2 linked regions of the Macaca mulatta genome follow. The protein of the gene in region 2 purifies or fractionates together with the protein of the main gene of each other region. This does not show direct contact. Links are inferred from orthologs where the notes say so. Each region holds a gene or a part of one and is shown on either strand. Other genes may lie near its edges. The genes, in order: VAPA and RASSF3.

Region 1 (16,324 bases), on a different chromosome or scaffold from region 2:
GGTGGATCACCTGAGGTCAGGATTTTGAGACCAGTCTGGCAAAAGCCTGTCTCTACAAAAAATACAAAAATTAGCCAGGTGTGGTGGCGTGCACCTGTAATCCCAGCTACTAGAGGCTAAGGCAGGAGAACTGCTTGAATCCGTGAGGCACAGGTTGCAGTGCGCCAGGATCGTGCTACTGCACTCCAGCCTGAACAACAGAGCAAGACTCCATCTCAAAGAAAAACAAAAAAAAAAAAGAACAACTATTTGGACTTTATTTTCATCTAATTCAAACAAACTGCAGAAAAAAAAAATTTTTAATGACATCTGTGACAAGTTTTAATGCTGCCTGGATAGCCTGATATTAAGGATATGCTAAATTTTTAAAGGCATAGTAACAGTATTGTCATTAAAACTCTTTTATCTTTTTTTTTAAAGTACTTTGAAAGATATACATTCAAACAGTTACAGATTAAAGTATACCATGTCTGGGATTTGCCTTAAACAATACCTAAGATGAGAAGTAATAGGATTTATATATAATAAGCTTAACCACAAACTAGTCATTGTTAAAGCTGCTCATAAGTTCACAGAGGTGCATTATACTCCTCCTACCTACTCTTCTAGGTGCTTCAAGTTTTTCAAAATAAATCTTCTTAAAAATTATCTTTAGCAGATATTTCCTACAATTTAATATACAAGTCCAGATAATCCAATTAGTGAAAATACATGAGCACCTAGCTAATCAAGGCTCAGACTCAAGATATTCTCTAGAGTACTTTGAAGTTACTTAACAGCTTTCAGGTCACTAGTAATACCTGCTCTGAAAAGGTTCCACGTTCAAACTACTGCTGCTCGAGTTCCACCACAGGCGATTCTGGGAACTCCATTCGGTATTTGCTCAAGCGCTAAAAGAGACCCAAAACTACTTTCTTGGATAACTATGGGCTAGACCAACAGGTAGGCATAACGGCTCCTTTCACCCAAGATGGGTAAATCGCTGGGTTCAACTGTCATTACTGTATCAGTAATGGTTTGGTTTCCAAACCAGTGAGAGCTACTCTTAATCAGCAGTATCAAATACCTGCGGTCTCAATCCTTTTCACACACCTCAAAGTGTGTGCTATCCAGAGCACAGCAGAAGCCCAGATAGAAGACAGATTTATGCTGACTGAATTACTGTAAAAAATGACATAAAACTCTAAGTGAGAAAATATCCAAATGTTTTTTTAAAAAGTCAATCCAGACAATACGCTGTTTTGTTTTCTTGATTTCAACAGTAAGAGCTGTGCAAGCTATTAGCTTCCCTCAGCCTAAGCCAAAAAAGAAAACCTCTAAATGGGAAGCATACACAGACCATCTAACACTCACTTTACAGAGAATATACGTGTTCACATTTTTTTGCTTTTGGCAAATACCTCAAAAATCACTTAAAAGAGGTATTTTAAAAATTCAAAAACTAATTTGGTCAACACCTAATTGCCAGAGACCTTTTCATTTCTGCTTATCCTGAAAGAGAAACACAGTAACTGAGCCCACGTATTTAATCTGCATGTTTACTTTTCAATAGAGCAAATTGCCACCAGATTAAGGCAGTAGTCATGTCAGACTGTAACCAAATCGTGCCAAACAATTCTATTTATCCATATTATTGTATGTATTAAGTCACATACACACACAGAAAAACTTATCTTTCAAGTCTCTCTTACCATAGGGAAAGATTCAAATTTGCAACCCAGACAGGGAAAAGGACAAGGTAAGTGACTATAATCCACTCTGTACATTCACCGACTACTATTTGTTTGTTTTTAAATAAACACATATATCCCTCAGTCCCCCAAATTGTATTTGACCTACACTAATGAGTAAGCAGCATAACAATTATTTACTAAAGAATGCAATCAGATGGATTTGACTAAAAACAAAAGTGAGCAAAATACCTGGGAATAGCTAAACCTGGAATAAACTGTCCATGTAAGTGAATTTTTTATCCCCAAACTGCTGGTACATAATGGCCAAAAAGCAATTTATATGTATTTTTAAATTATGTATACATGTCTCATTCTAAAAAAGAACCTGTAGTGGTTTACGCCACAAAAATCTGCTATACTTAAAGGATTCTTCTCCAGGATGTAGTCTAGACCTAAAAGTGAGTCTTTCTTTCTTCTTGGATAAACAAAATGTTATTTTTTAAAAAAAAAAAAGTATACCAAGTTTTTTAAAACTTAACCACTGAGTCTTATGACATGAAAGAGCCATAACACACATACCTCAAAGGTCAAAAATAGAAGCAAAATTAATCAAAGGAACTGAGCGCTCAACAGCTTCAATTTTTTTTTACATTTTCCTACTTACCAATTTGTCATTTTCATTAGGCATTTCAAATACACATCTCAATTTGGAATCCATTAATTCATCAGGTTTTGCCTCTTTCCACTAAAAAATAAACAAAACCAAAAATGAGACATAGGAGGTATGATCATGGTAAGTAAGTGTGACCTCATGGGACAGCTAAAAGATGAGTGTAGCTGCCTGGCTTGGCTGAAATACACTGGTGCCCTCTTCACTGATCACCCTGCCATTGTTACTGGCTAATGTCACAGAATATATAATCCTAGAGTTACTATCACCATCCATTAAAATCACGATGATATCACTAGCAACCACAGGACTTTCTTCTTAAGAGCAGCATTTCTTTCTTTTTTCTCTTTTTCCAGTTGGTCTCATTCTGTCTCCTAGGCTGGAGTGCAGTGGCCACTCCTGGGCTCAAGCAAGCCTCCTGGGTAGCTGGGACTACAGGCATCTGTTGGTTTTTTTACTTGTTGGGTTTTGTTTTTTTTTTTTTTTTAATCGTAGAGACAGGGTCTTGTCATGTCGCCTGGGCTGGTCTTGAACTCCTGGGCTTGAGATACTCCCATCTTAGCCTCCCAAAGGGCTGGGATTACAGGTGTGAGCCACTGCACTAGGCCAGTAGCAGCATTTCTAAATTGTTTCTAAAAAAAAAAAAAAATACTATTTAAAAATTCTTGGCCGGGCGCGGTGGCTCACGCCTGTAATCCCAGCACTTTGGGAGGCCAAGGCGGGCGGATCACAAGGTCAGGAGATCGAGACGATGGTGAAACCCCGTCTCTACTAAAAATAGAAAAAATTAGCCGGGCACAGTGGCGGGCGCCTGTAGTCCCAGCTACTCGGGAGGCTGAGGCAGGAGAATGGCGTGAACCCGGGAGGCGGAGCTTGCAGTGAGCCGAGATTGCGCCACTGCACTCCAGCCTGGGTGACAGAGCGAGACTTCGTCTCAAAAAAAGAAAAAAAAAAAAAAAATTCTTTCATTCTGTAAGTTAGGATTATCTACAATGAAGATATTGGCACTTTTTTAAAAATCTAAATTTAACTTTTAGTTTTTAGAAATTAAGTTTTTCTACTGACTGCTGAACAAAACCCACAGTTTAAACTCCACTCCCCAAAATAAATTCTTCTTCTGTACTTACCACAGCTTCCATATCTGAAGTGTTTGGTGGAGCAAAAATTGTCTGTACCATAAACTTGTGTTTACTCTTTTCATTCGGATCATAGTCAAAGGGCTGTAGCATTACTAAATAAGAAAAAAAGGATATATTATATTGTCTCCTGCATGTTTGAAAGACATACATTGAAACAGTTACAGATTAAATTATACCAAGTCCGGGATTTGCCTTAAACAGTATCTGGCCATAGTATCATTCCCATTACTTCACAAATATGCAAATTTAAAGAAAACCAAGAAGGGTTCAAGAAACCAAACACCAGAATGTTTAAGAATCCAGAATCAACTTAATGGATCCCAAGTATTTTCAAATTGTCTGCCTTTCTAATTTACTAAGTTTTCCACAACCAACAAAATAAACAATTGCAATTAAAAATTAAATATGAATCTATGATTTTGCCCTTTCTAAACTCAGCTTGTGAAAATTTTCAAAACTTTGCCAGTGTTAACTATAATGCCTATAAGTTCAGATAAAATCTACTAAGTTATTAAAACTCGTTATGAATTTAGGCTTCATTTTAGTGTTTTCTGATTTAAAATTATATAGCTGGCATATTTAAAGGAGAAATAGTAACTTAAAACCTCACTACCATCTATTTTTTGCTTTTTAAAACTGAGTCTTACTCTGTCGTGAGGCTGCAGTGCAGTGGCGCCATCTCTGCTCACTGTAGCCTCAACCTCCCTGGGCTCATTTTGTAGAGAAAGGGTTTTCGCCATTTTGCCCAGGCTGGTATCAAATTCCTGGGCTCAAGAGATCCGCCTTCCTCAGCCTCCCAAAGTGCTAGGAATAAATGCGTTAGCCGCAGTGCCCAGCCCATATATTAATATAATTAATTTTTCAAAAATGTATTTTAAATAAACATCTATTTCAGTTTATGAATTTATTTCAATCTTCTAAGAAAACAAAAGTACACAAGGAAACCATATAGCCTCTTGATTTCTAAAATATATTCTACAGTCTCAATAACATTCAAAATTTTTAAGCATTTATAATTTCCCAACTTTTAAGTTTTCTAAGGTTCCATGTGGTTGTAAGTCATGCTAAATTCATGTAACGTGAGTCCAATATGAGACTATATAAAAAATGAATCAACAGTTACACAAAGTATGTACACGGTATTATAGAAATTATTTCCCTAACTTTGGATTATTTCTAAGATATATCTCCACACTTTCGAAAAGATAAACACGAGTAAATAAATGTAGAAAATAACAATTATGTAATAAAGTCTTATTCACAAGGTGTGTCTGATAAGTCCATTAACTGCTATCAAGGTTAAGACAACTTTTTCAAGGGGCCAAATACACAGCAGCAGGAAATGTACTGGATAAAATGCCTCAGAATACAGCTTAAGCTAAATAAAATTCCATTAGCAACCTTCACTAAGTAATCATTATAAGCTAATCACTATGAACCAAAAATCTGTGAATAAAAAGAAAACTTACAACATGGTTAAGTTCATGGCAGTTACACTCTAATTTAGGTTGCAGACCACAAAACGAGACAAAGACGATCTTGAAAACATATATAAAAATGTGCACAAATTGGAACAAATTCAAAAAAAAGTGTCAAAGGGACACGGGGAAAAAGAGAAATGAGCATGTAGTACAGAGAATTAACCAGAGAAGGTTGCTGGAAGAAGCATACCTTTGAGTGACTGTAAATGGAAATAAACTACACTAAAAATTGGAAAAGTCAAATTCTCATTGAAGTAGAGCAATCCAAGGGCATGTTTGTGTAATCAGTAACCAGTTTGTCTGCAGGTTTTAATAAGGCAGGTTTCTGTGGAAGAAAATGCTTTGATACGTTATTTTCTCAAGAAATATTAATACACAGAAACCAGCAATCTAGGCCCCTCAAAGAAAAAATCATTCTGCATAGCTGTTTGGATTCCTAGGGATATAACTGTTTGTACCAATAAACTATTTTTAGCCATGTGGATTGAAATAATTATATCTTCTGGCCAGGTGCAGTGGCTCACGCCTGTAATCCCAGCCTTTGGGGAGGCTAACGTGGACGGATCACTTGAGGTCAGGAGTTCGAGACCAGCCTGGCCATCATGGTGAAACTCTGTCTCTACTAAAAATATAAAAATGAGCCAGGCTGTTGGCGCACGCCTGTAATCCTAGCTACTCAAGTGGCTGAGGCATGAGAATCACTTGAACCCAGGAGGCGGAAGTTGCAGTCAGCTGAGATTACATCACTGCACTCCTGCCTGGGCAACAGAGCAAGACATTGTCTCCAAAAAAAAGAAAAAAGAAAACAAGAAAGAATTATCTCTTCTTCCAATTGTGCTAAAGGCTTAAAGATGTAGTCGAAAGCAGCAACATCCAGAGAGCATGCATTCCTTCATCTTTATTTCCCATCTCTTCATCCCAAGAACTGATGAATTAGACTTAGCAAAGAAACATGAAAGGCACTCCTCCCAGGCCTCCTTAACACAAGATTCACTAAAACATCTTTTTCCTCGCTGTTGAGGTTTTTGGCTATACCTGCCGAGAGAAGATTTAGCGTCACCAAAAACTCGATGGTCTGTCCTTCATGGCCTTTGCACTCAGGTTCCACCTCTAAATACTCTCAATGAGCCTACCCTGGGTTCTCTCTCTCTCTACCCAATTCTGCTGTGGACTTGAAAACTGATATGGAATTATTGTATCTTGGGATTACTTATCAAGATCACCCAGGCCTTTTTTTTTTTTTTTAATGTGCACTTTTTTTTTTGAGATGGAGTCTTACTCTGTCGCCCAGGCTGAAGTGCAGTGGTGTGGTCTCGGCTCACTGCAACCTCCGCCTCCTGGGTTCAAGCAATTCTCTGCCTCAGCCTCCCAAGTAGCTGGGACCACAGGTGCCCAACACCACACCCGGCTAATTTTTTGTATTTTTAGTACAGACAGGGTTTCACCATCTTGATCAGGCTGGTCTTGAACTCCTGACCTCGTGATCCACCCGCCTCGGCCTCCCAAAATGTTGGGATTACAGGTGTGAGCCACCGCGCCCAGCATAAACGTACACATTTCTAAGCCATGCTCCCAGAGATTCTGATCTGAGAGAGATGAATCCATGTGTGTTCCCGCTCCCTGCGTTATTACAGCACATAGTGGGAGTTGAGAAGTACTGCTGTAAAGGAAGAGTAAATGCAGCCTCAGAGGTTCTCCCCTAAGTAAAATACATGGAACCATATAAGTTCTCATATTTAGTTCCTATTTCTCAGCTATATCAGTGAAGTCAGAGGGACTGAGAAAGAAAAAAACAGTTTATAGGGGAATTAGCTATGGTACCAGTATCGACTCCATAGCAGGAGTAAGCAATCCATATATGGCAAGCATACTTCTTTGACAAGTAAACACGTAAGAGAGTAGTAAAATAAAAGTTTTCACACGCAGGACACTGTTGACATTTACAATGAAAGACATAAAGACTCATCTGATTTGACACAGTAGGCAAAAAAGTGGCATTATACCTTCTTAAGCAGAAGAATTATGACACTTCTACAGCTGCATGCAACGTATAATATGATCATGATCTGAAGGAGAATGACCCATCAGAAAAATGGTATAATTTTTCAAAGATAAAATAACAAAGGCAGAGAAGGTAGTGGTTAGCTGTAGAAATAAAGACTAGATATAAAGTTTGTAATTGACAATAATTTCTTATAAACTGACCACACTCCCTACACAGATGAGAGTGAGAAATTTTCTGAAACAGCTTGCATATAGTACAATAACAAGACATCTTTAAAGGCAAAGCCAGAATAATAGAAGAATTATCTCCCTCCCTCCAGATGAAACCTTATTAAACAAAAACAGAATCATAAAATGTCAAAATTCAAATGTACATAAATCCAGAACATGATTTGCTACCTGAAACAGTCACAGTTGACCCTGGGTCAATGATTCCACTGTTGGGCCTCACACAGTACCGGCGAGGTGCTGTAGTCTTCACTTTGAAACACACTTTTCTATCCGACGGATTTCGCAATTTAAGATTTGTAGTGACTACATCTGTGAAGGGGCCTGTAAAGTTTAAAAATTAAAGAGAAAACAAAATTTAATTGGATTCTCCACAACAAAGGAATCAAAACTGAAAGTACGTAACTTCAATTTTAATTATGTGTTGACATTTGTAGGCATAAATATCCCAAATGGCTACTAACACTGCCTTTCTCCAGGTGGTAGACTTAAAAAAAAGTCGTGTTTTCTTCTTCATTCCCTGTATTTCACAAAATTTCTACCATAAACATGTATGATTTCTATCAAAAAAAGTACTGTGAAACTTCTGATCTATGAAGTTTACAACTGTATTTTTATAGTATGTTGTTAACACATTGCTGAAAATATCAGAATTTCCCAGTTGTCTGCAAACCAGTGTCAATCTTCAAGTTCATTTTACTAGGCCAACTGCAAAAATCTCTACAACTGAAGACCCTACACCCTATGACATCAGTGCTTTTGCTTTACCTCAATTTTGTTTGTTCATTCATTCAATCCATTCATTCATTCACATATTTGTTAAGTGTTTATTATGCCATATGCTCTAGATACAAAGTTTTTAAGCTTTGGTTCTGCACCCAAACAACATAAAATCACAAAACAAAGAACCCAAAAGGCTCATCCATTTTGCTAAAGAAAGGCCTAAAGAAAAATTATGCAGATTAATTTAGACAACAAAATAAATACCGGTTAATTTGGAGGCAGAAGATAAAAACATGTTCCAGTTGGGAACAATAACCACAGTTCTAACTATTCCAAAAGTAATTTTAAATGATTCTAAAAACAATTCGTTTGAAGTTATATTTTTTTTAAAAAAAGCTAGAAGGCTGGAATCAAAGACAACTATTATAAAGGCTATCTTTTCTTTATTTCAACTTTAAGAATAAGCATGTCTTTTAAAATTTTACAAAGGCAAGGTCATTAAAAGACACTTATTATCAAGCCCTAAGAAGTAAACTGATTTTATCCTATGCTTAAAGTTTGTGAGTAGTAAAATATTTTCTAATAAATAAAAATTTGGAACTAGGATGAGAGAAAGGAGATAAAAATGAGTGAAAATTAGAAGAAAGCATGTAAAGGCAGGTTTTAGAAAAGAAAGCATTTTAATATTGGGGAAAAAAAGCATACATGTGATAAAGTACAATGTTCTGAACTGCTTGTTTCATTATATGGCCAAACTAATCATTCCATTTACAACATACACCCCTTGCTGCTTCTTCAACCCCAAGTGCTTGCATTTTCTTTTTGAAAAGCATCTGATTAACAACTCCACCATAAAACTAGTATAAGAGTAAAGACAAAAAACTCCAATGTGTCCATTTTACTACAGGAATCCACAAAATGGCTGGCTGGAGATATGTTTTGAACTGATAAAACTAGAAGTCTTAAAGGCGAATTCCATTTCTTAACATTCTCAAATCCATAATTAGTACAAACACTTTAAATTAATGTAAAATTTTATAGGACTATTTTGAGGACTTTAACATTAGTAGCAAGCACAGATTAAAATAAAGATCCAATTTCTTAGTAACATGACAAAAAGACATGTCACAAAATTTTAATTTTGAACAATCCTAATCCATAATATGAATACCTATTTTTAATTATGTATTTATGTATTTTCATAACATAATTATGTAAGTTTTTAGTATTTGAATGTTTTATTAATTTAATTCTCTCCAATTTTAAAAAGTACCAATTATCCAAACTAAGGTAAAATAATTTTTTAACTGATTTTTAAAATGACTGTGGGTCAGTTTTGATCAACAAACTCTACAAGAGTTGTACAAATTCTGAAATAGTATTTACATTTCATGATATTGCCCACCAGGGATTATAAATTGTCAATACAGATTGTGGGATTTCTAGACATAAAAGTATAAATTATCTAAAGATGATGATAATATATCAAAAGAAATACACCCCACCAATTCAGAACAAAACTCTTAACACGGCATGTTAACCTTGCAAGTAAAATGTAGAATTACCTATAATAAACCCACCCAACAAACGAATTTGAGATTTTCTGCTCCATTGTATATCCCTCTAACCTAGCCTCTCAATGAGGGTTGCTCCCAGCAGATAGTTAAGATTTGAGCCCCTTTCCTAGTTTAAAATGGAAAATTATCAAGTACTTATGACCATTAGCAAAGGAATAACCAGATTTAACAGCTAAAAAAGGTCATGGGAAGAAATATGTGGTCCACTTTTGTGAGTTACAGAATCCTTTAAGAACCTGATGAAAGCCGTATCCTACACCTCAGAAAAACATACATAGGTAAATATTCACAAAAATTTTACACTGACTTTTATGGAAGGTAAAACGAGTTAGAGAGCTGGGTTCAGGGATAGAGGGGCTGTATCATGTACCCCCAGGAGCTGCTGATTTAAAAGGCCTGACGAAGAAATCTACCTTAAGATCTTCGGAAAAGAGAAGTTATATACCTACTGAAAGTGCTACAAACATAACCCTTTAGGTGATACTGCCCCTTACAAGGTGTTTTCATTAGGCATTATGATTGGGTGGTACTTACTGGGGTGGGAGGTGGGGGCAGGAAACAGGACAGTAGACATTCTGCAATGCAGACCCACACAATGAAGTCCTATGTTCCCACTGCATCGCATTTTCAAATACTCCTCCAGAAATTCATATTGGTGGAAAATCTCTTTTCCAAGTATTCATCTATTATGTGAACAGGAAAAATGTGTACTCTTTTCTTCAAAATGTTAAAAGGTGAGTTCACCATTACAGAAGATTAGTCTACCAATAGCAATGCCACTCATGATACCTGAATCACCAATACAACACATCTGAATTAGTCAGCAGGCATTTGTAGGTGACACCTTCACATGAATCTACCTATATGCATATTCTTATTTTGCCCTTTTATCAATGTTAAGAAAAACTGTCAGTACTATTCAGATAACTCGTCTTATTTCTCTTAAATCCAAACGTACTCATCTTAAGTAGATACAAACATCTGACTACAAACTTAAGTAGGGTACAAGTATTTGACTTCTTCATTATGTCTTCTAGGGTAGTCATGCCCAAACACACTTAAAATGAGCATTCCATTATAAAATTACTTCCTTTTTTTCCCCTTATGTTATATAGCTAGGGTATATATATTTTAAAATTTTTAATTACATATGTTATTGGTCATTTTATATATGAATTTCTTTTCAGGATAGTAATAGGAACATTACAAAATCTAAAAATGAGGTATGAAGTTAGAGTTAAGAACCCCTGAATTAAACCAATAATCTCCTGCTTTACTAATTGAACATGTATCCTTTGTAAGGCTTAGGTGATTAAACCATCAAGAGAAACAAGTGACTACCATAAAAGTCAGGATAATGGTTAATCCTGCAGTGGAAGTAACTGGGAGAGGGTAAAAGGAGAGCTTTGCCGAATGCTAGCCAAGTTCTATTTCTCACCCTGGAGGTGATTATATGAGTATTTAATTTTTAATAATTCCTTGAACTGTATATATCTTTTCTTTATGAAAAACAAAAAAGTTTTTTTAAAAAAACTAATCCTTGACATAACCTTGAAAATTTGAAAAAAACAGTGAAAAGCAGTTTTGATGACAAAGTGAACATCTGATGCAATTTATGGAGTGAACAAATATGTTTCGAGGATTTCTGAAACTTAATCCCTATAAATGGGGAAATCCTATCATTTGCCCGATATAAATGCTTAGTTTAACATTTAGGAAACAATTTTTGAACTAGTCCATTTTAATCAAAAGTACTGATAAAAACTTATGTTAGAGATATGTCACTGTTTATAATGAACTATCCCGTATAAAAAAAGAAAACTGCATACAAGTTACATTTATTTGCACTCTTATATTGAAAATCTACAATTAAAATACTTCTACCTTTCAATTATGTGGCTGTTGTTCTTTGGAAGCCTGACCATTTCCTGCCACTAAGTATTCTGTCCCAACTCCTCTATAGCTGTCACTGCCATTAAGTCAAAATCCTGCTCCTAGTCCCAAATTCTTACAATCAAACAGAAATGTAACACAAACACAAATGTGGCCTCTGAGTAAAAAAGTCTGAACATAAGTTTTTTTAAAACTTACAACGTGAGATGTCAAAAATACTAGAAAATTTTAAGGCAGCTCACCCAGAGCTGCCTTCGTTGCCAATTTTAAGGCAGTCAAGTGGGACTGGCCTGCCTCGTTTGCCTAAAAACCTTTTTTCCAGCATGAAATACCCTTTTTAGTCAGTCCACATATGTAAAATTCAACCATTCAGAACAACGGCTTCCTTTTAAATAGCAGGACCTTTCTTCTCCAAACTGCCCAGTCTTAAAAGGAATCCCACTAAGCTAAGAAGAGCTACCAAAAACAAAACAAAAAACAAAAAGAACCACTCTTAAAAACTGTTATCATTCATCCATATTTTGATGTGAACTACTGATAACAAAGTTATCTTGAAATCCTGAGTTCAGTTCAGCTGCAAAGAGAATCAACTGTGGAAGAGGGGAACAGTTAGCTTTTCCCCCAACATTTTATTATGAAAAATTTGACACAGAAATTGAGATAACTATATAAACACTCATACATCATCACTCACATTCTACAATCAACATTGTGCTGTATTTACTTTGCAGCGTATCTATCTGCCCTGTCCAGACATCCACTTCATTTCTGATGCACATCAAAGCAAGCTGAAGACATCAGCACGGTCACTCCTGAACACCTCAGTATGCGTATCAACTTTCGTATTTGTTTTGTTAAAGAGTATAAAATTAATACAGGATAAGCAGGAGTATATCACACAGAACATTTCAGAAAACGCCTCAAAAATGTAGCTTAAGAATAAACAGACAATGTACATGAACATTAATTTATGAACTCTGTGACCCCATTTAGGCTAGTTACTCAGAGGCGTGTTTAGGAGACAATTCTGTATGGGCCTCTAGCATTTCTGCACATCTTGCAAGGAGAAGTCCTGGGAGTTTTTACCGAGACTATCTTTTCAAGGATGTATGAAATAGTGAAGTGTCTTAGAAGACAACACCTCCCTTCTGAGGAGAGGGGCAGGTTTGTTCAGCGGCCAATATAATAAAGATAAGGTCTTCCTCTGGACTAAAGGTCAGGTAGGTTTCTGTGCAGCCCACTATGAAAGATTCAGGTTCTCTAAGTTCAGGGTTTCTAGTTATGATGCAAACTCATTATGTGAGCAGTCTCTACCTGAACACCTCTGTCACCTCCATGGAACTTGAGAAGGGCAAGGAAAACCAACACAAATATAAATCCCATTCCACTTGCAGTGCCATGAAAAATTATGTCCATTGTCTAACTCAGGAAATCTCACATGGTCTACCAACATCTACAAAACTGCAGCAGGCAAAATTTTTCAGTCCCTTCACAGTTCTTGACAAGGTCTTTGTAAATTCTTGGCTACCGCAGTGCGGACTAATGAGGAAGGCTGGGTGCTCTGCTCAAATACACAAACAACGTAGCCACAGCAATGCAGGTGATGACTACCTTCAATGTTTCCAACAGGTTTTAGAATTAAGTTGTATCACTGATTGAACTGTTTCCCAGTTACATAAGGGTTATGCTGCTGAGTATCTGTGGCATCATGTTAACGCAATCATATATACAAAACATATTAATACTATATAGTACACAGAATATCTACTAAGGGAATAGCTAGCATTTATTGGGCACTCATGTATCAATAACTTTGTACAAACTATGTTATTTAACTCTCACAAGTCCATGAAGTAGATACTTTCATTGTATTTTAATATACCAAGTTTACAGATGATTCAACTCAGAAGGTAAACACTAGTCCAAGGTCATACAACTCAAAGCAATGAAAGTGGGAAGTCAAACCAGGTCTGACTCTAGGGCCTGAACTCTCATACATTTTGAACGTATAACCTAGCGGTATTTATTTTCTAATTCATAAGTATTCCAGGTAGACTTCTGCAGCAATAAAGCATGAAAGTGCAGTCAAATTAGCCATATATGAAAAAGGTTTTTTAAATGGGTATTGTATTTCTCCTGGTCACATAGGTCAACACTGAACACTTCCTGAAATAAGTATCAAGCACTCTAAAAATATTTTACATTTTACATCCAAGAAAGTCCTAAAACATTCTTATTACAAATTTTTTACTATACATTTTTTTCAAACACATTGAAATATCAGGCTTGAGGTAAGCTCCATGAAGACTAGGTCTTTGTTTCGTTAGCTGCTGTATCCCCAGCAACTAACACAATGCCTGGCATAGTAGCTACTGAAGAAACATTTTTGTATAAATAGTGTACAAATAGAGTACTACTTTCTGGAAAAGAAAATGAGTCTTAGTTCTATTTAAAAAAATTTAGTCATTGAAGCACTAAAACATATCTCTTTATAAGATTTCACTAACATCATAAAAATATGGATCCTGAGATTAACGGAAAAGCAAGACTGCACTATTTTATTTAAGCCTCTATGGGCTTTAATTACTGAAATTGCCTCACTGTCCCTGTTTATCCATGTTACACAATCAACTAACAGTTTCAGAATGTATCATGAAAACTCTCCAAAATCCACTTAATATAGTCATGTAATCATTTTTTATAAACCAGTATTCCCACTCTGGGAGCCTAAAATTACAGTGTGAAAAAGTTACCAACAGGAAAGGACCATGTCTTTTACTTCTTTTACACCGTTTTCATACAGTGTAGTATTGTTCTGGTCGTATAAATACTCATCCATCACCTTTACATAAACAGGTACCTAAATAAAAAATTAAAACACTTCTTTCCATTCTTTTGGCAACCTTCTGGGGAAAGAGAAATGCTGATTTCTGTTACTGATGTTATACCATGACTTCAAAAAAAAAAAAAAAGCATAATGTAGTATGTTCAATCAGAGGCTTAACAGCTAGAACCATTACCTAGGTGATTGACCTTGGGTAAATCACTTCACCTCTCTATCCCAGTCTAACCTCCTTCATTTTAGAATTTGTAGGCAAAATGATCTCTAAGGCTTCTTTCAGCTGTAAAATCATGCGACATTATGATTAACTTTACTTACCACCTTAAAGAACATCTTCTACCCTACGGTAAAGATGAGAGATAATTCAATCTTAAACCCATCACACCTTTATTGACATTTTTAAAAAACTACCTTAAACATTTTAGGAGTGCTTTTTAAGGTATTCTGATACATACAATGCTCGGTCTGACCTAAACAATCCTGGTGACATAATCTTGAAAACAAGGCAGAGAAAATAAACAATAGTCTTAACATAGAAGTGGAACACTTTGATTTACAACATTTTCATATCAATTTTATGTCCCTCCACTCTAAACTTCCAAAGAAGAATAAGATTTACACAAACATAATCTATTTGTAAAAGAACAATGCTAGTGTAATATCTGGATTAAAATAGAAACGAGTGGTCCACATCCAAAGTTTAAGTTTTTGGACTCCACATAGGTAGGATATGAAGAAATAGAAAATAAGGTACATTTTTGGAGAACCTGAAATAAAACTTTTTTTAAATTATTTAGATATAAAGTCCTTGCCAGGGGAAAACATAACATGAAAAAAACGATCACAATAATCTTAACTAAAAACATACAAGATATAGATACATAGAGTTATACACAGCATAGTTATAAAAAGTTTATCAAAATGTTAACAGTCGTTATTTTGTGAGACTGAGTAATTTTTATCGGCTTTATATCTATACTTCTTTCATTTTCTACATTTAGCATTGATTTTATATAAGAAGGGACTTTTAAACATGCACCCATAGTAGCTTAATTGCTTATAAATCGTCTTATTTGTAAAATCCTGGAAGAAAAAAGCTGAAAAAATTCAGAACCACAGATTTTTTGGGGATCTGTTGTTAGTAAGGTTTCTCTCAGTGGGAACAGTACTCAGAAAACAAAACCAAGAGATTCTTGCCTTACAGGCTTTAAAAAATAAAAAATTTTCACAAGAAAAACTAAACAGGAAACACACTGTATGATTCAAAGGCACCCTATATCTTTAAAGTATGACAGTCACTACATGTCATTCAAGAATTAAAATTATATACATATTCATATACACTTCACACATATATACACATACATGAAACATACACCTACAAAAGACCTGTCAAAACATAGGCCCATGAGAAGTTTGTCAAGTTATACAATAAATGTACGTTTAAAAGTCCTCTCACAGCAACAATTCTTTTTTAATTAACATTCTTACTTTTTAATGGTAATTCAATCTAATCATTTCCTTAAAAGGCTGAAAGATATGTAACTAAACTTCTCACTCCTTTAAATCTGAATTTTCAGAACAGTATCAAACATTCGTGATAACTAGTTATAAAGAACATCCAAACACCAGAGAAAAGCAGCTAAGCATGCTATGGTACATTAATGATGCATAAGTCAACACAAATGATGTGGAGATTTCTTTTATAAACATTTAAGACATCAGTTTAGACTGTTTTTATAAAGTGAAATATGTGTTACAGAATAACAATTACAAAGTGCAATATGTATAACTAATTACAGAATTTATTTTTTATAAAGTGAAATGTTAAATTATAATGTTACAAATGTCTTCAGAAAATATCAAATCCAACCTCATTTAAGCAAAGAATTTTTATTATTTAAAAAAAAACCCATACTGAAGAGTTCATTACAAAGATGTAAGCAATTCAATGGCACAGGAAATGAAGTATAACTGGCATCACAGAAGACGCTGCATTCAAGAGAAACTAATTCCTGGGATCATTAAGACCTCTCTGCCTACATTTTTCTGCCTTTTTTCTCTCAATTAGTTGCTTCTGCTTGCCACTGTTCC
Region 2 (16,800 bases):
TTGGTTAATTTTGGTTAACATTTTGGTGAATTAACCAGTTCAGTTAACTCTGGTTGAAGTTACTAAAAAAACATTTTCTAACCTTGAAGATGATTATGTTTCTGTTGGAAGACAGTCATCAATAAGGAAATGCAATTGTTTTACACAGGGATGTAAAACAGGAAGGGATACATTTCCACGTCAACATTCCCATCTAAATAGATGTGTAGGGTCAGGCGCAGTAGCTCTTTCCTGTAATCCCAACACTTTGGGAGGCCAAGGCGGGTGGATCACAAGGTCAGGAGTTCAAGACCAGCCTGGCCAACATGGTGAAACCCCATCTCTACTAAAAATACAAAAAATTAGCTGCACGTGGTGGCGCGCGCCTGTAATCTCAGCTACTGGGGAGGCTGAGGCAGGGGAATCGCTGGAACCCAGGAGGCGGAGGTTGCGGTGAGGAGAGATCGCACCATCGCACTCCAGCCTGAGCGGTAGAGCAAGACTGCGTATCACTCAGTCAATCAATCAATGTATAGCTTTACCGCACTACAAAATAGGTGTGTTCCTGAAAAACTACATTTCAAAGTTTCCTCAAATACACTAAAGGAGCAAGCTCTTTAGGGAAAAATTAAGAGAGACATTTTCATTTGCCTATTGGGTAAGCTTTTTATTTTATTTATTTATTTATTTATTTTTGAGACGGAGTCTCGCGCTGTCGCCCAGGCTGGAGTGCAGTGGCACGATCTCAGCTCACTGCAAGCTCCGCCTCCCAGGTTCACGCCATTCTCCTGCCTCAGCCTCCCAAGTAGCTGGGACTACAGGCGCCCGCCAACTCGCCCGGCTAGTTTTGTTTTGTTTTTTTTTTTTTTGAGACGGAGTCTCGCTGTGTCGCCCAGGCTGGAGTGCAGTGGCGCGATCTCGGCTCACTGCAAGCTCCGCCTCCCGGGTTCACGCCATTCTCCCGCCTCAGCCTCCAAGTAGCTGGGAGTAGCTGGGACTACAGGCGCCCGCCACCACGCCCGGCTAGTTTTTTGTATTTTTAGTAGAGACGGGGTTTCACCATGTTAGCCAGGATGGTCTCGATCTCCTGACCTCATGATCCGCCCGTCTCGGCCTCCCAAAGTGCTGGGATTACAGGCTTGAGCCACCGCGCCCGGCCACGGGTAAGCTTTTTAAAAACATTGCCAAAAGAGGCTAGGGACTGTATATTGTTCACCACCCTAACCCCGGAGCCTAGAACAGTATCTGGCACATAGTAGGCACTCAATAAATTGTCAACTAAATAGATTAACAAATACATGATGAGTTTTCTTAAAACAAGGGAAAAGTATATAAAGTGAATTTTGACTAACCAGTAATCACAGGTATCACCAATACCATACCATTTTAAATCACTACTACCAGTAAGATACTGTGAAGGCTTATGGTCTAGTTTGGAAAGGGGGAGACACTGTGTACATTCGTGTATAAAGGAAAACTAACAGTACCAAATACTGGGACATCCATCCAAAATGAGCAGGCTTTCATTTTTTCAAGCACCTTAACTGCTAAGAATTTATTTTATGTAGTAGGTAAAAAATGCTAATCTCGGTCCTCATTAAACAAAATATAATGACAAATTGTAATTTTTGCTATGAAGGGAAAGAACAGAGGGCTTTTAGACTTTTTTGAGTAGACATGTTAAGGAGAATGGAGGGCGGCAACTCCTGGCCATGGTTCCAAGATGGGGATGGGGCCTGAAAGGAATTAAAGAGAAGGCTAACATGGCTAAAGTCCTCAAAGTTATTACATCACAGGGTGAACAATAAACGGGGGCCTTGTAATAGAGGCCTGCTTGTGATGAGAATAAAAACTTCCTACAAGGCAAATGTGTGTAGCTCTTCAAAGAAAGGAAGATATAAAGAGGCTAAGTTAGCCAAGATTTGTCATATAGAAGAGAAGCTCCTTTGCATGCATTTATCATATATCCTACTGTCTTTTCACCATCCCCTCTGAAGAGGGACTGCTAGCCAATGGCCTTTGGCCAAATTAGGAGTGAAATGCATGTTTCAAACTGGGACCTTTATTTAAAGACAGCTACTTCTGCTTGGAGACTGGGGGTGGAAAATGCAAGGGCTAATGCCCAGGGCTAAGAGCTGGTAATCAGGCCACACTAGAAAGCATTTGGTCAGCCTCGGTCTTTTTTTCTCCCAGAAAAAGAATGTTAACAGTATGACAGGCACTGACTGCCAAAGGAAGTCTAAAAAGAAAAACCACATTATTGGATATTTTTAGCCTTTCTTTTCAAAAATGTTTTGTGTCACTGCTTTCCAAATAATTCCAAATCTTGCGAGTTAGCCAGAAGAAGAAATGGGATAAGGAGTATATTGCTCAAATATGAGGCTTTATAAGACTAGAAACTAATTTTCTTGAAATTCATTTAAAGGAATATGCCTTTGTGAATCTTGCTCACACAAACACAAAATTCCAATGGATTAATATCATGTAAGAACAGAACACATCAGACATGCAGACAAGATGTGTAAATCACGTTGCGCTAGGCAAAATGTCTAGTGAAAATGTTTATGCTCCATAATACGGGAATTAAAAATTAGCATTTAAAAAGCTAGTATATGCCAGGAGCAGTGGCTCACGTCTGTAATCCTAGCACTTTGGGAGGCCGAGGTGGGTGGATCACCTGAGATCGGGAGTTCAAGACCAGCTTGCCCAACATGGCAAAAGCCTGTCTCTACTAAAAATACAAAAAATTAGCTGGGCATTGTGACGGGCACCTGTAATCCCAGCTACTCGGGAGGCTGAGGCAGGAGAATCACTTGAACCCAGGAGGCACAGGGTGCAGAGAGCCGAGATTACACCACTGCACTCCAGCCTGGACGACAAGAGCGAAGCTCCATCTCAAAAAAAAAAAAAAAAAAAAAAAACGGCTAGTATAGTCAAAATACCTATAATGTCATAAACCACGATCCTTTTACCCCAGTGATCTAGCTCTGAAACTTCTAATGGAAACACTAATAAAAGAGTGCAGCTCATTACTATTGATTCTAGCAGTAAGACACAACCAAATAACTGAGGCACAAAAGTATTTGAATAAGAAAGGGAAAACCAAAAGGGTGAAGATGAGGCCTGCTATGTGGAGTCTCATAGGCTTACTTACTGAAAAATTCTTTAGCACAATTTTTTTTATGTGTGGGTTGTTCAGAAGACAATTTCACGTTTCTCAAGACTTCTTGACTATCCTACTTCTAAAGCAAACTGTCTCATTTCCTTATTCCCATGAACTACCAAAGGCTCAGGAGAGGGAGCTTAGCTAAGAGATAAGACACACTCCAACAGATTATAATTTTAGACCATTTCTACTCTTTGGAAATTTGAATGTGTCCTCTATTTACAGGCAGTTTGATTTTGGTGGGAAATCAAGAAGGCATATAATAAATTACAGAACTGTCCACATTTTTGATTCTGCTGAAAACAATGATTAGGTGGATCCTTTGAAACACAAGGAATCCACAAATACAAATTATAAACACTGTCATGACAATATGTGCACGTCAGGGAGTTGAAATTTTAAGAAACGGCCAGGCACGGTGGCTCATGCCTGTAATCCCAGCACTTTGGGAGGCCAAGGAGGACAGATCACTTAAGGTCAGAAGTTCAAGACCAGCCTGGCCAACATGGCAAAACCCTGTCTCGACTAAAATACAAAAAAAAAAAAAAAAAGCCAGGCCTGGCAGCAGATGCCTGTAATCCCAGCTACTCAGGAGGCTGAGGTATGAGAATCATTTGATCCTGGGAGGCAGAGGCTGCAGTGAGCCAAGATCCCGCCACTGCACTCCAGTCTGGGGAACATAGTGAGAATCTATCTCAAAAAAAAAAAAAAATTTTTAAGAAACTCTTAAATTTTAGGTGTCCTTATTTGCAAAGGGAATATGGGGCCGTAAAATTATTTTTATAGCTAAAAAGCAACAAAATGGAGAGTGTAATTTGAGTCAGAAAACCTGAGTTCCAGCCTTCTTGCTATCTAGGTGTGGGCCTTACACAATCACTAAATAATACCTCCCCCTTTCATTAAGTTAATGTTTCATACAGTTTTTGGGAGAACCATAAGATAGAGTACATTTGAAAATGGTAAAGATCAGGGGCCAGGCGCAGTGGCTCACACCTGTAATCCCAGCACTTTGGGAGGCTGAGGTGGGTGGATCACCTGCAGTCAGGAGTTCAAGACCAGCCTGGCCAACACGGTGAGACCCCGTCTCTACTACAAAATTTAGCTGGGCATGGTGGCAGGCGCCTGTAATCCCAGCTACTTGGGAGGCTGAGGCAGGAGAATCGTTTGCACCCAGGAGGCAGAGGTTGCAGTAAGCCGAGATCGCGCCATTGCCCTCCAGCCTGGGCAACAAGAGCAAAACTCCATCTCAAAAAAATAAAAAAAATCCAGTTATTATCAAATCAGAAAAACATTCATTCATTCAGCTTGCATTCACTGAGCAACTACTGTATATCAGGTACTGATCCAGACCCTGGGGATACAATAAACATAACATTCAAACTGCCACAAAAAGTTTTATGTTCATTCCCTTTATATCTTTTAGACAGTTTTGTTTTTGAGACAGGGTCTCGCTCTGTTGCCCAGGCTGGAGTGCAGTGGTGCAATCACAGCTCACTGCAACCTCTGCCTCCCAGCCTTAAGCAATACTCCCACCTCAGTCTGCCAAGCAGCTGGGACTACAGGCGGGTACCACCATGCCTGGCTAATTTTTGCATTTTTTTTGTAGAGACGGGGTTTTGCCATGTTGTCCAGGCTGTTCTCGAACTCCTGGGCTTAAGCAATCCTCCCATCTCAGCCTCCCAAAGTGCTGGGATTACAGGTATGAGCTATCACACCTGGCCTAGACAGGTTTTTAACCCTTTTCCATTTTGTTGTTGTTGTTGTTGTTAAGAATGGGGTTTAAAATAAGGAAAAAAAAATGATAATATTTTCTTTTTTTTTTTTTTTGAGACAGAGTCTCGCTCTGTTACCCAGGCTGGAGTGCAGTGGCCGGATCTCAGCTCACTGCAAGCTCCGCCTCCCGGGTTTACGCCATTCTCCTGCCTCAGCCTCCCGAGTAGCTGGGACTGCAGGCGCCCGCCACCTTGCCCGGCTAGTTTTTTGTATTTTTTAGTAGAGACGGGGTTTCACGGGGTTAGCCAGGATGGTCTCGATCTCCTGACCTCGTGATCCGCCCGTCTCGGCCTCCCAAAGTTCTGGGATTACAGGCTTGAGCCACCGCGCCCGGCCATATTTTCTTTATATCTATAAGGTTTTGTTACTGTTGGGGATAGAAAGAAGTTAGGCTATGTTCCCTTGCCTGGCAAGAGAAGAAAGAAATTTCTAGTCCACCCGCTCCCTCACCCCTTTCTCCCCACTCTGCATTTACCACAAACATCTTGTTTTCTCAGCATATTTTCAAGAATTCTAGAAACCTAATTTTTCTCACTTTTCCACTAGGTGGTACAACATCCAAAAAAAAATCACTGTATCTCTAATAGATCCTTCTAGCAACACCTCTCTTTCCATCTCTCTAGAGAAAGGATAAATTTCACTACTATGCTATATGTCAGAAGTGCTTATCTTATTCTTATAATCATCAGCATGAAAATGAAGAAAAAAGCTTATCTAACCTTAGAGAAAAGAAACGTTCTACATTAAGAGCGCTTTGCTTTAAATTTATGATGTTTTACTTCCCTAATTCACCAATCTTACCAGGAATTTTAAAACATTCGTATCACCTCTTTAAATAAACCACAATGCCCACTAAAATTCAGTTTAGAACACTTCGCCTGGCAAATAACTCCTACAACTCAGCACCTTACATGTCTTATATTAGAAGGGAAAAATATGCAGGCAATAAAACTTCAGATACACATATGAAGCTCTTCAAGCACGGAACTATGTTTTCCTGTCCTGATTTCCAACACATTATTTCAAAATACATATTAACGTTAGACTAATTCTAAATGCTAAATACTACTACCCTGAGTATATATGCTAGATGAATATTACATAAATTAATGCATACAACATAGAAACAATAAATGCGCCAGGGGCGGTGGCTCACACCTGTAATCCCTGCACTTTGGGAGGCCGAGGCTGGCAGATTACCTGAGGCCAGGAGTTGGAGACCAGCCTGGCCAACATGGTGAAATCCCATCTCTACTAAAAATACAAAAATTAGCCAGATGTGGTGGTGCATGCCTGTAATCTCAGCTACTTGGGAGGCTGAGGCAAGGAAATCGCTTGCACCAGGGAAGCAGAGGTTGCAGTGAGCTGAGATCACACGACTGCACTCCAGCCTGGGTAATGCAGTGAGACTCCATCTCAAAAAAAAAAAAAAAAAAAAAAAATGCTAAATGCATATAAACCTGGAAAAGAAATCTGATGTCTTTACTCTTTAAAGCACTAAAGGATTGTCATACAATTCCAATCTGAATACTTTGGCCCTTGTGGCATCTCACCCCTGGAGAATCCAAGAACCAGCTAGTTTTCAGATTAGCAGACACCTCTGGAATAAACTTCAAACTAGCATGAGTTCCTTTTCATGTCAAGTGATGAAAGCAACATAAACGAAAGGAGAAAATGCAAAACGGACAAGGGGAAGAGAGAGCCAAGAAAGAGAAAAGCAAAATGGAAAAAGCATAAGCAAATGCAATTTTTCTATAACCCAGGGAGGGTAGGCGTGGGGAGGGGAGGGCATTTCCAACTTCCAAACTTCACAGCAAAATCTCATGCTTTTAGAACACACTCTGCGGAAAGTAAGAGATCCCACTCAAAGTGACTCGTAAATAGTGGGGCCTTAAGTCTTAGAAACAATACAAGACGGACAACTATGGCACTGGGACTTGACTGGAGATTAACTGCGGTTACTGAATAAGGGCACTTGACTTTAGCTTACCCTTCACCGTCTCCTCTCCTCCTCCTGGTTTGAGACTTAAGAGCCTGAAAAGACTACAACTTCCGAATTTTAGAAAGAATTTTACTTCAGCAAGTGGCTAAACTTAAGAGGTCTGGCAAGACCACCCTGACAGATTGCACCCTCCCACACCCACCAGAAAAAGTTATCATCCGGCCCCTGAACGATTCTTCTTGCTTCTAGTCTCTAGGTCTCAGTCTGGTATTAATAGAAATGTCTGGCAAACGCCTATTTTCTAAAAGCAACAAATTTGTTCCATTACGATCTTCTGTAATCTGATGTGAGCGGGTTGGCCCGGCTCCCTGGTGCGGCTCCCAGTGCCAGGAGGCCGCGGGTTCTAGCACCGGGGTCCTCAGTCCAGCCGACGTGCCCCGTTTCGGGAAGGCCTCCCTAAGAAACACGGCTACGGCTGGCGAAACTGGCACAAGTTCCCTTCCCATCTTTTCCCAAGTCGTGCTTCCCACGGCGTGCTGCCTCCAAAAAAGGAAGAAACCGGCCAAAAGGTTAGCTGTCGCTGGCTAGTATTTAGCATCGGAGCTTGTTTGCAAAACATCTGGGCACCAAAAAACCTAGCGTTACAGGAAACGCACAACCCTGAGTCCCGCAACCGAGATTTAGTTAGCGCCTACGGTAGCGAGGCCCGCGGTACCCCTGGACCCCCACCCCACCGCGGCGCCCGGCCCAGGAAGAGGGGAGGCCAGGTCACCTGGCCACCCCTAGCTATTACACGTTGACCCCAAGCCACTCCGGGGGCCACAGATGAGTGAGCAGACTAACAGGAAGGACAGGCGCGCGAACCCGACCGTCGACCCAGCGGGGACGCTAAGGGGAAACATGGGGGAGAGGCCCGGGGACGCCTGCTGGCTCCGGGACTGCTCCCCGCAGGCGGCGGCCCGAGATGGAGCTGCAGAGGCCATCTGGCGCGGAAGGCAGAAGCCGGCCCTCAGCCTCCCCGCCCTTCCTCCGCCTTCTCTCGCCCACATGCACAAGCTCCAGGCACGTTCCCGGGACCCGAAAAGGCAGAAGCCACTTCTTGGCCCGTTCCTCCTTCCCGGCGAGCATCCCCCGAGCGCCCCGCAGAGACACGTGGAGTCAGGGGGTGCGGGCTGGCGGGTTCCCTGGAGCTCCGGGACGCAGACTGCAGCGCCCGCCGCTCGCACTCACTTGCTGGCCGGAGCGGGGCTTGCCCTGAGGCGCTCTCCTGAAGAAGGAGGTCCTGGCGGTGAAGAAGAAGTCCTCGGCGTCCTCCTCCAGGCTGCTGTAGCCGCTGCTCATGCTGCCGGTCCCGTAGCGCCCGGGCGGCCTCCCGGGGGCGCAGGCGGCCAGGGAGGGGGTGCGGCGCCCGCCAGCCCCGCGAGGTTCCCGGCGCGCGGCCCCGGGCCGTCCTGCTGCAGCTGCGGCCGCCGCTCAATCAGGCGTCCCGGCCCCTCCCGTCGCCTCCCCGCCCGGCTCCAGGCGCGGCTCGGCCCCGGTGCGCCCTCGACCCCGCCTCCCTGGGCTCCGCCCCGGACGGGCGACCGGCCGAGCCCCACCCGGCGCGGGCCCGACCCTCCTCGCCCGCCCGCAGGTGGGGGGAGCCCGGCCCAGCCCGCCCCTTCCAGGCGCGCGGGTTTCTCCCGGCAGCGTCGCGGAACCCGGAAAGCCGGGCACTAGGGCTGCATCTGGTGGAGCTGTGCTCGGGTCGCTTCCTCAACCTCCCGGAAACTGCAAATTCCTCTGCGAGCCGTCCGCCCGCCCCCAGCCTTGCTGGCTCGAGTTTCGGAGAGGGCGGGGGCAGAGCGGGGAACTTTCTCTGCTGTCCACACCCTGCTCGTCCCCCTCCCAGGGTCCTGTGGGGGTGGGTGGGGGTGGGTGGGGGTTGCCCGGCCCTGTGGAAGGGCCCCCCACGTCCCACGGCTTCCTGCAGCCGTCCTGAACCCCAGCAGCTCGCCCCGCCTGGAGGATTTCAAGTTGGCAGAGATGGGTGCGGAGGTCAACAACTGGGTTGAGTTTATTCGAATGAAAACATCCTTTCTGGTCATTCATTTGAGCTTCGGTCTTATCCTTTTCCCCTTCTTTCTAGCGAGGGCTCACTTCCAGATAAGATCGTTATCTTAGGCGCACTCAGTGCAACTGAAGGGTGAACTAGTTCTATAGTTACAGAACAATCGAGTGCTTATTAATTAAATGTGCTTTGTAAATGTCCCCGCCACAATCAGCCTTCCACGGTCACCCACAGGCATGGTTTAAGTGGTGGGGATAAGGAGATCAGGGAATTCTATTCATCCACGTACAAAAAAAAAGTTTCCATGTTTTCTAAAATTCTTCCAGTCAGCTAATCCTCTTTTAAAGCCACCTGTGGGTAACAGTCTTTTACACCTTAGTGTTACTGCACTGATTTAAATCATACTAATTTCTTTTTTTTTGTTTTTTTGTTTTTTGAGACGGAGTCTCCCTCTGTCGCCCAGGCTGGAGTGCAGTGGCCGGATCTCAGCTCACTGCAAGCTCCGCCTCCCCAGTTCATGCCATTCTCCTGCCTCAGGTTCACGCCATTCTCCTGCCTCAGCCTCCCCAGTAGCTGGGACTATAGGCGCCTGCCACCTCGCCCGGCTAGTTTTTTGTATTTCTTAGCAGAGACGGGGTTTCACCGTGTTAGCCAGGATGGTCTCGATCTCCTGACCTCGTGATCCACCCGTCTCGGCCTCCCAAAGTGCTGGGATTACAGGCTTGAGCCACCGCGCCCGGCCCCAAATCATACTAATTTCAAGATCTTGACCGAAAGGTTATTTTGAAGCTGCAAGCCCTGCTATGGTTAGCGAGCTTCAGAGGAGGTTTCATTAGGAGGGGAAGAGAGACGTTAGAAAAGAGAAAATGTCCAGCATAGCCAAACTAGCCAAACTCTCTTACATTATCTCCTTCAATCCTCCGAGCAACTCTGTAAGGTAGGTAGTACTATTTTATGCCGGTTTTACACCTAGAGCAGCAGCTGAGGCTTAAAGAGAGGAAAGTGGCTGTAGGCGGCAGTACTCGGACCGTTCTGCTCTGCGTTCTGCTGATCTGAACGTGGTCACAAACCCTACTGGGTTCTCTGCTTGGTCTCGGTCAGCCGGTCAGCCGTGCTCTTTTGTGGACTACAGGAGGAAGAGTTGGACCCGAAATGACGGGAAGGAGAGAAGAATTGGCTCATGAGTCATCCTACTGTCCCCAGGCTGAAAGAAGGCTTGCAAATCTGCTCCACCTTCAGGGCTTACACATCCATCTTGTAAAATAGTATATTACCCCACGTGATTCACAACAACTCCAGAAGAAGGGCCTTTGAGTTACAGCCCATTTTAAAGGTCCTACAACATTAAAGTCTTCTTAGCCACACAGCCACTGAATGATAGGAAGCCAGGAATTCTAACTCCATGTAAGTTTCACCCAGTTTAAGCTGATCCCTGTGTGTGCCATGCACATAATCTAATGTAGGAGAATAGGGCTTTATGACAAATTTTTCTTTTTTGGTTTCTCTTATTTCATTATTCAGATATAATATTAGCGCAGCTCTTATTAAATATACCAATGTAAGAATAATGTGTAGGTTAAGGACTTAAATTACTCATTTTATTGTGGGTAGAAAGGGGGAAATAATTTTACCCAAAACAAGTTGAAGTTTATCAATACTTTGAGGAAAAATGCATTAAAATGCTTCATTGGGCGGGGGCTGTGACTCACGCCTGTAGGAGGCCAAGGAGGGTGGATCACCTGAGGTCAGGAGCTGGAAACCAGCCTGGCCAACGTGGTGAAACCCCGCCTCTACTAAAACTACAAAAATTAGTTGGGCGTGGTAGCGCGCGCCTGTAATCCCACCTACTCGGGAGGCTGAGGCTGCAGAATCGCTTGAACCGGGAGGGGCGTAGGTTGCAATGAGCCGAGATGGCGTCATTGCACTCCAGCCTGGGCGACAAGAGCAAAACTTCATCTCAATAAATAAATAAATAAATAGCTTTATGATGCACCACACCACAAAAATGATTTTTTTCATTGTATTATTTTTAAGTTCCAAAGGACCGGATTAATTTATATATCTGTCAGCATACCATCAGAATCAGTTATAATAAAAAGACATGATTGAGTGGGGTACAGGGGGAAGCTGAGGATAAGGATCACTTGAACTCAGGAGTTCCTGTCCAGCCTGACCAACATAGTGAGACCTGTTCTCTAAAAAAAATGATTTTTTTTATAAAGGCATGATTAGGCCAGGCACGGTGGTTTACACCTGTAATCCCAGCAATTTGGAAGGCCGAGGTGGGAGGATTGCTTGAAGCCAGGAGTTCAAGACCAGCCTGGGCAACAAAATGAGACCCTGTCTCTACAAAAACAAAAAACAAAAAACAATTAGCCAATGTGGTGTCACATGCCAGTGGTCCCAGCTACTCAGGAGGCTAGGTGGGTGGATCACTTGAGCCCAGAAGTTTGAGGCTGTAATGAACTGATCTTATCACTGCACTCTAGCCTGGGTAATAGAGTAAGAGTCTGTCTCTTAAAAAAATAAATAAATAAAATAATTTAAAAAGCGATGATCAAATAATGAAATGGAAGCACTGCTTCTAAGCAACAAAAAACAAACAAACAAACATAAATAAAGGAAAGGGCCGAGTGAGGTGGCTCACGACTGTAACCCCAGCATTTTGGGAGGCTGAGGCCGGCGGATCACTTGAGGTCAGGAGTTCAAAACCAGCCTGACCAACATGGTGAAACCCCATCTCTACTAAAAATATAAAAAAATTAGCCGGGCATGGTGGCACATGCCTGTAGTCCCAGCTATCCGGGAGGCTGAGGTAGGAGAGTCACTTGAACCCTGGAGGCAGAGGTTGCAGTGAGCTGAGATCATGCCACTGCACTCCATCCTAGGTGACAGAGGGAGACTGCCTCAAAAAATAAATAAATAAATAAATAAATAAATGAAGGAAGGAAGGAATGAAGAATTGTGATTTTGTTTCCTAAAAGCAGCGTAATGATATTTGTATATTTTTCTGGTAACTTTTTTTTTTTTTTTTTTTTTTTTGAGACAGGGTCTCACTTCGTTGCTGGAGTGCAGTGGTGCCATGTTGGCTCACTGCAGCCTGGACCTCCCAAGCTCAAGCAGTTCTCCCACCTTGGCCTCCCCAGTAGCTGGGACTACAGGCATATGCCACCAGGCCTGGCTAATTTTTATATATATATATATTTTTTTGTAGAGACAAGATCTCACTATGTTGCCCAGGCTGGTCTTGATGAACTCCTGGGCTCAAGTGATCCTCCCACCTTGGCCTCCAAAAGGGCTGGGATTACAGGTGTGAGCCACCGTGCCTAGCTTAGTAGCATTTTAAATTAAAATACTGTGAATTTAAAATTTAGTTCATGAAAATTGTATCTGTAAAAATTCAAAATGTCATGTTAAACAACCAGACATTTTTAACATTTCAAATTCAGGGAAGGGGGTAGAATAAATAAAGTTAAATGTATGCAACGAAGTTCAAGTTTCGTTTTGTTTTTTTGAGATGCAGTCTCACTCTGTTGCCCAGGCTGGAGTGCAGTGCTATGATCTCAGCTCACTGCAACCTCTGCCTCCTGGGTTCAAGCGATTCTCCCACCTCAGCCTCCTGAGTAGCTAGGATTACAGGCGCGCACCGCCACACCCAGCCAAGTTTTGTATTTTTGGTAGAGACAGGGTTTCACCATGTTGGCCAGGCTGGTCTCAAACTCCTGACCTCAGGTAATCCGCCTGCCTTGGCTTCCTAAAGTGCTGGGATTACAGGTGTGAGCCACCATGCACAGCTCAAGTTCAGTTTTGAAAGGACTTATCATCAAACACACAATTGAATTTGTATGTAGACTGTATCATCATTACTATTTCAGTGATATAAGATCCTAATGATTACATTTATAGCCTAATACGCCTTTGTTTCTACGTTAAATGAGGAATCGATTTAAAACTTTATTTGGGCAGGGCGCGGTGGCTCACGCCTGTAATCCCAGCACTTTGGGAGGCCGAGGCAGGCGGATCACAAGGTCAGGAGATCGAGACCATCCCGGCTAACACAGTGAAACCCCGTCTCTACTAAAAATACAAAAAAAAAAAGAAAAAATTAGCCGGGCATGGTAGCAGGCGCCTGTAGTCCCAGCTACTCCAGAGGCTGAGGCAGGAGAGTGTCATGAACCTGGGAGGCAGAGCTTGCAGTGAGCCGAGATCACACCACTGCACTCCAGCCTGGGCAACAGAGCAAGACTCCATCTCAAAGTTCGTGTCCTTTGTAGCGACATAGATGCAGCTGGAAACCATCATTCTCAGCAAACTATCGCAAGAACAGAAAACCAAATACCTCATGTTCTCACTCATAGGTGAGAATTGAACAATGAGATCACTTGGACACAGGAAGGGGAACATCACACACCGGGTCCTATTGTGGGGGGTGGGGGAAGGGATAGCATTAGGAGATATACCTAATGTAAATGACGAGTTAATGGGTGCAGCACACCAACACGGCACATGTATACATATGCAACAAACCTGCACGTTGTGCACATGTACCCTAGAACTTAAACTATAATTTTAAAAAAAAAGATGTGAAGTATTATAAACACACAAATGTTTTATAATTTTAATAATCCTGTATATCAAATCATTTCCCTTAATATAAAAGGGGAGACTTTAGTTACAGTTTTAACCTTTCTTGCTCAACAGATAAATCGTCATGAAAATAACAATTCTATATAAATGTGATTATCAATCAAAAAGTTTAAATCATATTCTGGCTAAGTACCCACTGCCACGAATAATAGAAACACAGATGTAATAAGTGCAGAAAAAATTTCAAACACAACTCACCCTTTGACTAAATACATTTAGAAGTAAAATATTTCTTTTGCTAATTTGTCCTAATAAAGATAACACGGTATTACAGAGGAAAAGTTTTGTGGATTTGATTATGTAAAAATTTAAATATTTTAAACACACACACACACACATTCACACACATACATACAATATTAAAAGACAAGGAAAAAATGGGGGGAATGTTTGCAATATAAACAACACAGGACTGATATACTTAAAATATAGGGAGCTCATGCAAATCAATAAAAATGTTGAACACCCAATAGAAAAATAAGTAAAAGACAGAACAAGCAGTTCATAAAAGAAGAAATATGAATAATTTATCAGTCATTTATATGTTAAAACATTCACTCAGCCAACAAATATTTATTGAGCATATACTATCTGCTAGACACTGATCTTAGCACAAAGGATACATCACTGGACAAAACAAACACAAATGCTTATTCTAATGGAGCTAGTATGTTAGAAGGAAATAAGTAGTTTCACAAAAATTGTGGAAGAAAGATAAAGAATATTGTACATGGACTGGTTACTGAAGGTCTCAATGAAGTCACATTTGAGCAACGATGTATAGGAGGTGAGAGAGCTGGCCATACAGATATCTGTGGGAAAAACATTTCCAGGTGGGAGAACAGCATGTGCAAAGGCCCTGAGGCAGAAGGATGCTTGGCATGTTTAAATAAGAGCCAAGAAGCCAGTGTTTCTAAGTGGGCAAGTGGAGAGCAGAATAGTAGGAAGAATTTTGATGGAAAAGTAACTGATGCAGTGAGTCAAGATCGTGCCACTGCACTCCAGCCTGGGTGACAGAGTGAGACGCTATCTCAAAAAAAAAAAAAAAAAAGAAAGAGAGAAAAAGAAAAGATGACAGAGACAGAGGGGTTACTGTTTCTGTGTTTCTGTAATACCTGGAAAGCAATGGTATGGACTTCCGTTTTGGCTTTTACTCTGAGATGAGAAACCACCAGAGATTTTGAGCAGAGGAATGACAATATTTGACTTACCTTCTTAATGGACCCCTTTGTTTGCTGGGTGGGGAATAGACTGCTGAAGCTTATGAAAACTAAAGCAAATGAAAACAAAGTCTATTTTTTTTCACTCATGAGGTTGGCAAATATTTTTTAAAGCACATCACGAAACTACATGCATAATAAGATTTATATGTGTGTAATTATAATCATAGGTAATACTCTTACAATGTGCTGGGAACTAAGATGCTTCATCCAAAGATTTATAAAAGGTTCACACACATACTGACAAATAAGTATTACCTTGATACCTGTGTGATATGGAAAAAGCATGCCCTTGGAGGTCGAGCAGACCCAAATTTGAATGATAACTCTATCACTGACTCTTATGTGACCTTTAACAGTTTAATTAACTTCTCTATGCCTCAGGTTCATCAGCAGCAAAATGGGCATGACAGTGTCCTCATATTATTTTCTTTGGTTTACTGTAAGGATTAAGTAAAAGAATCCAGGCAAAGTCCTTGGCGTAGAATAGGGTCAAGCAAATATTCATCTCTCTTGCCCCAAATATTAGACCTTATGGCATACTTAACATTCATCACTCACTTCTTTCTTGTTAACTAAACAAGGACTTTAATTCAAGAATCCCCTCAGGAAAAGAAGTCCAATCTCAGTTCAGGGTAAAGCCTGACGTGCAGAGTCAGTCGTGGTGGTCCCATTCCCCTTGCCAAGGATAGCTTTAGGCATGGACGGGTCTCACAGACCTGACCACTGGAACCAGAGGGAAAGTCAGCTTGGTGCCTTTTGGGAAGATATTTCTCACTTTTAAAAGAAACCTACAAAAAGGCTATCTTTTCTTCCTCTGGACTTTGCATGCTTGCATATGGTACCAAGGAATTCTGTAGCCATGCTGTGGACAAAACAGACACCATGAAGACATGGCAAAGCAGAACGATACAAAGACTTCATAGCTCTTTGATTAACCAGGTTTGTTTTGACAGCGCCCTAATTAGGACTTCTTGTTATGTGACATAAGATATTGTCTCGTTGCTTTTTTTTTTGAGACGAAGTTTCGCTCTTTTTGCCCAGGCTGGAGTGCAATGGTGCTATCTCGGCTCACCACAACCTCGCCTCCTGGGTTCGAGCGATTCTCCTGCCTCAGTCTCCCAAGTAGCTGGGATTACAGGCATGCGCCACCACCCTGGCTAATTTTGTATTTTTAGTAGAGATGGGGTTTCTCCATGTTGATCAGGCTGGTCTTGAACTCCTGACCTCATGTGATCTACCCACCTCGGCCTCCCAAAGTGCTGGGATTATAGGTGTGAGCCACCGCGCCCGGCCCAGATATTGTCTTATTTAAGCCAGTTGAGTTGACCTGTTATCATCCTATAGTCCCATTGTTTTGTTCCTGCTGGAATAGTCATATCTCTCATAATATTTCTGCCAAGTTCTGTTCTCCTGCATTGACGTTGGTAGAATCAGTAGAGACAGATAGAAAAAGAAGTAAGAGTTTTTAAATGATTACTAAGTTGTTCCCCCAAAAATAATTTTAAAAGTTCATTCTCTCACATTAAAAAAAAAAAACAAAACCATAACAGAGGTATTTAAATTGACTTTAAAAAGGAAAAAAATATGTTCTAAAATTTCTCTGAAAAATTCTGACAGGCCGGGTGTGGTGGCTCATACCTGTAATCCCAGCACTTTGGGAGGCTGAGGCAGGCAGATCACCTGAGGTCAGGAGTTCAAGACCAACCCGGCCAACATGGTGAAGCCCCATCTCTACTAAAAAAAAAAAAAAAAAAAAAATTAGCTGGGTATGGTGGGTGCCTGTGATCCCAGCTACTCAGGAGGCTGAGGCAAAAGAATCACTTGAACAGGGAGGTGGAGGTTGCAGTGAGCCGAGATGGCACCACTGTACTCCAGCCTGGGCAACAGAGCAAGACTCTGTCTAAACAAACAAAAAAAATTCTATGACAAATTCAAAGATGATAAGAGTTGATTACATCAGGCTGGTAGCTGGAGGACAGGCTCTGTAGTAGCTGAACCGATACAATCAGCAATCAGCGGC

What was found.
Region 1: the proteins of RASSF3 (region 2) and VAPA purify together in Homo sapiens (co-immunoprecipitation; 3 studies listed by BioGRID and IntAct, with this or other methods). This does not show direct contact. The link is inferred for Macaca mulatta from reciprocal best matches to the Homo sapiens genes RASSF3 and VAPA.

What each region holds. Positions count from the first base shown.
Region 1 is NC_133423.1:80,884,974-80,901,297, reverse strand, and holds part of VAPA (vesicle-associated membrane protein-associated protein A), read right to left. Parts: intron 10,285-16,324; exon of another isoform or gene 10,179-10,284; 5' UTR 10,121-10,178; coding exon 10,030-10,120; intron 7,520-10,029; coding exon 7,367-7,519; intron 3,575-7,366; coding exon 3,471-3,574; intron 2,419-3,470; coding exon 2,338-2,418; intron 1-2,337. UniProt on the Homo sapiens protein: Endoplasmic reticulum (ER)-anchored protein that mediates the formation of contact sites between the ER and endosomes via interaction with FFAT motif-containing proteins such as STARD3 or WDR44.
Region 2 is NC_133416.1:71,728,600-71,745,399, reverse strand, and holds the start of RASSF3 (ras association domain-containing protein 3), read right to left. Parts: upstream 8,340-16,800; 5' UTR 8,202-8,339; coding exon 8,091-8,201; intron 1-8,090.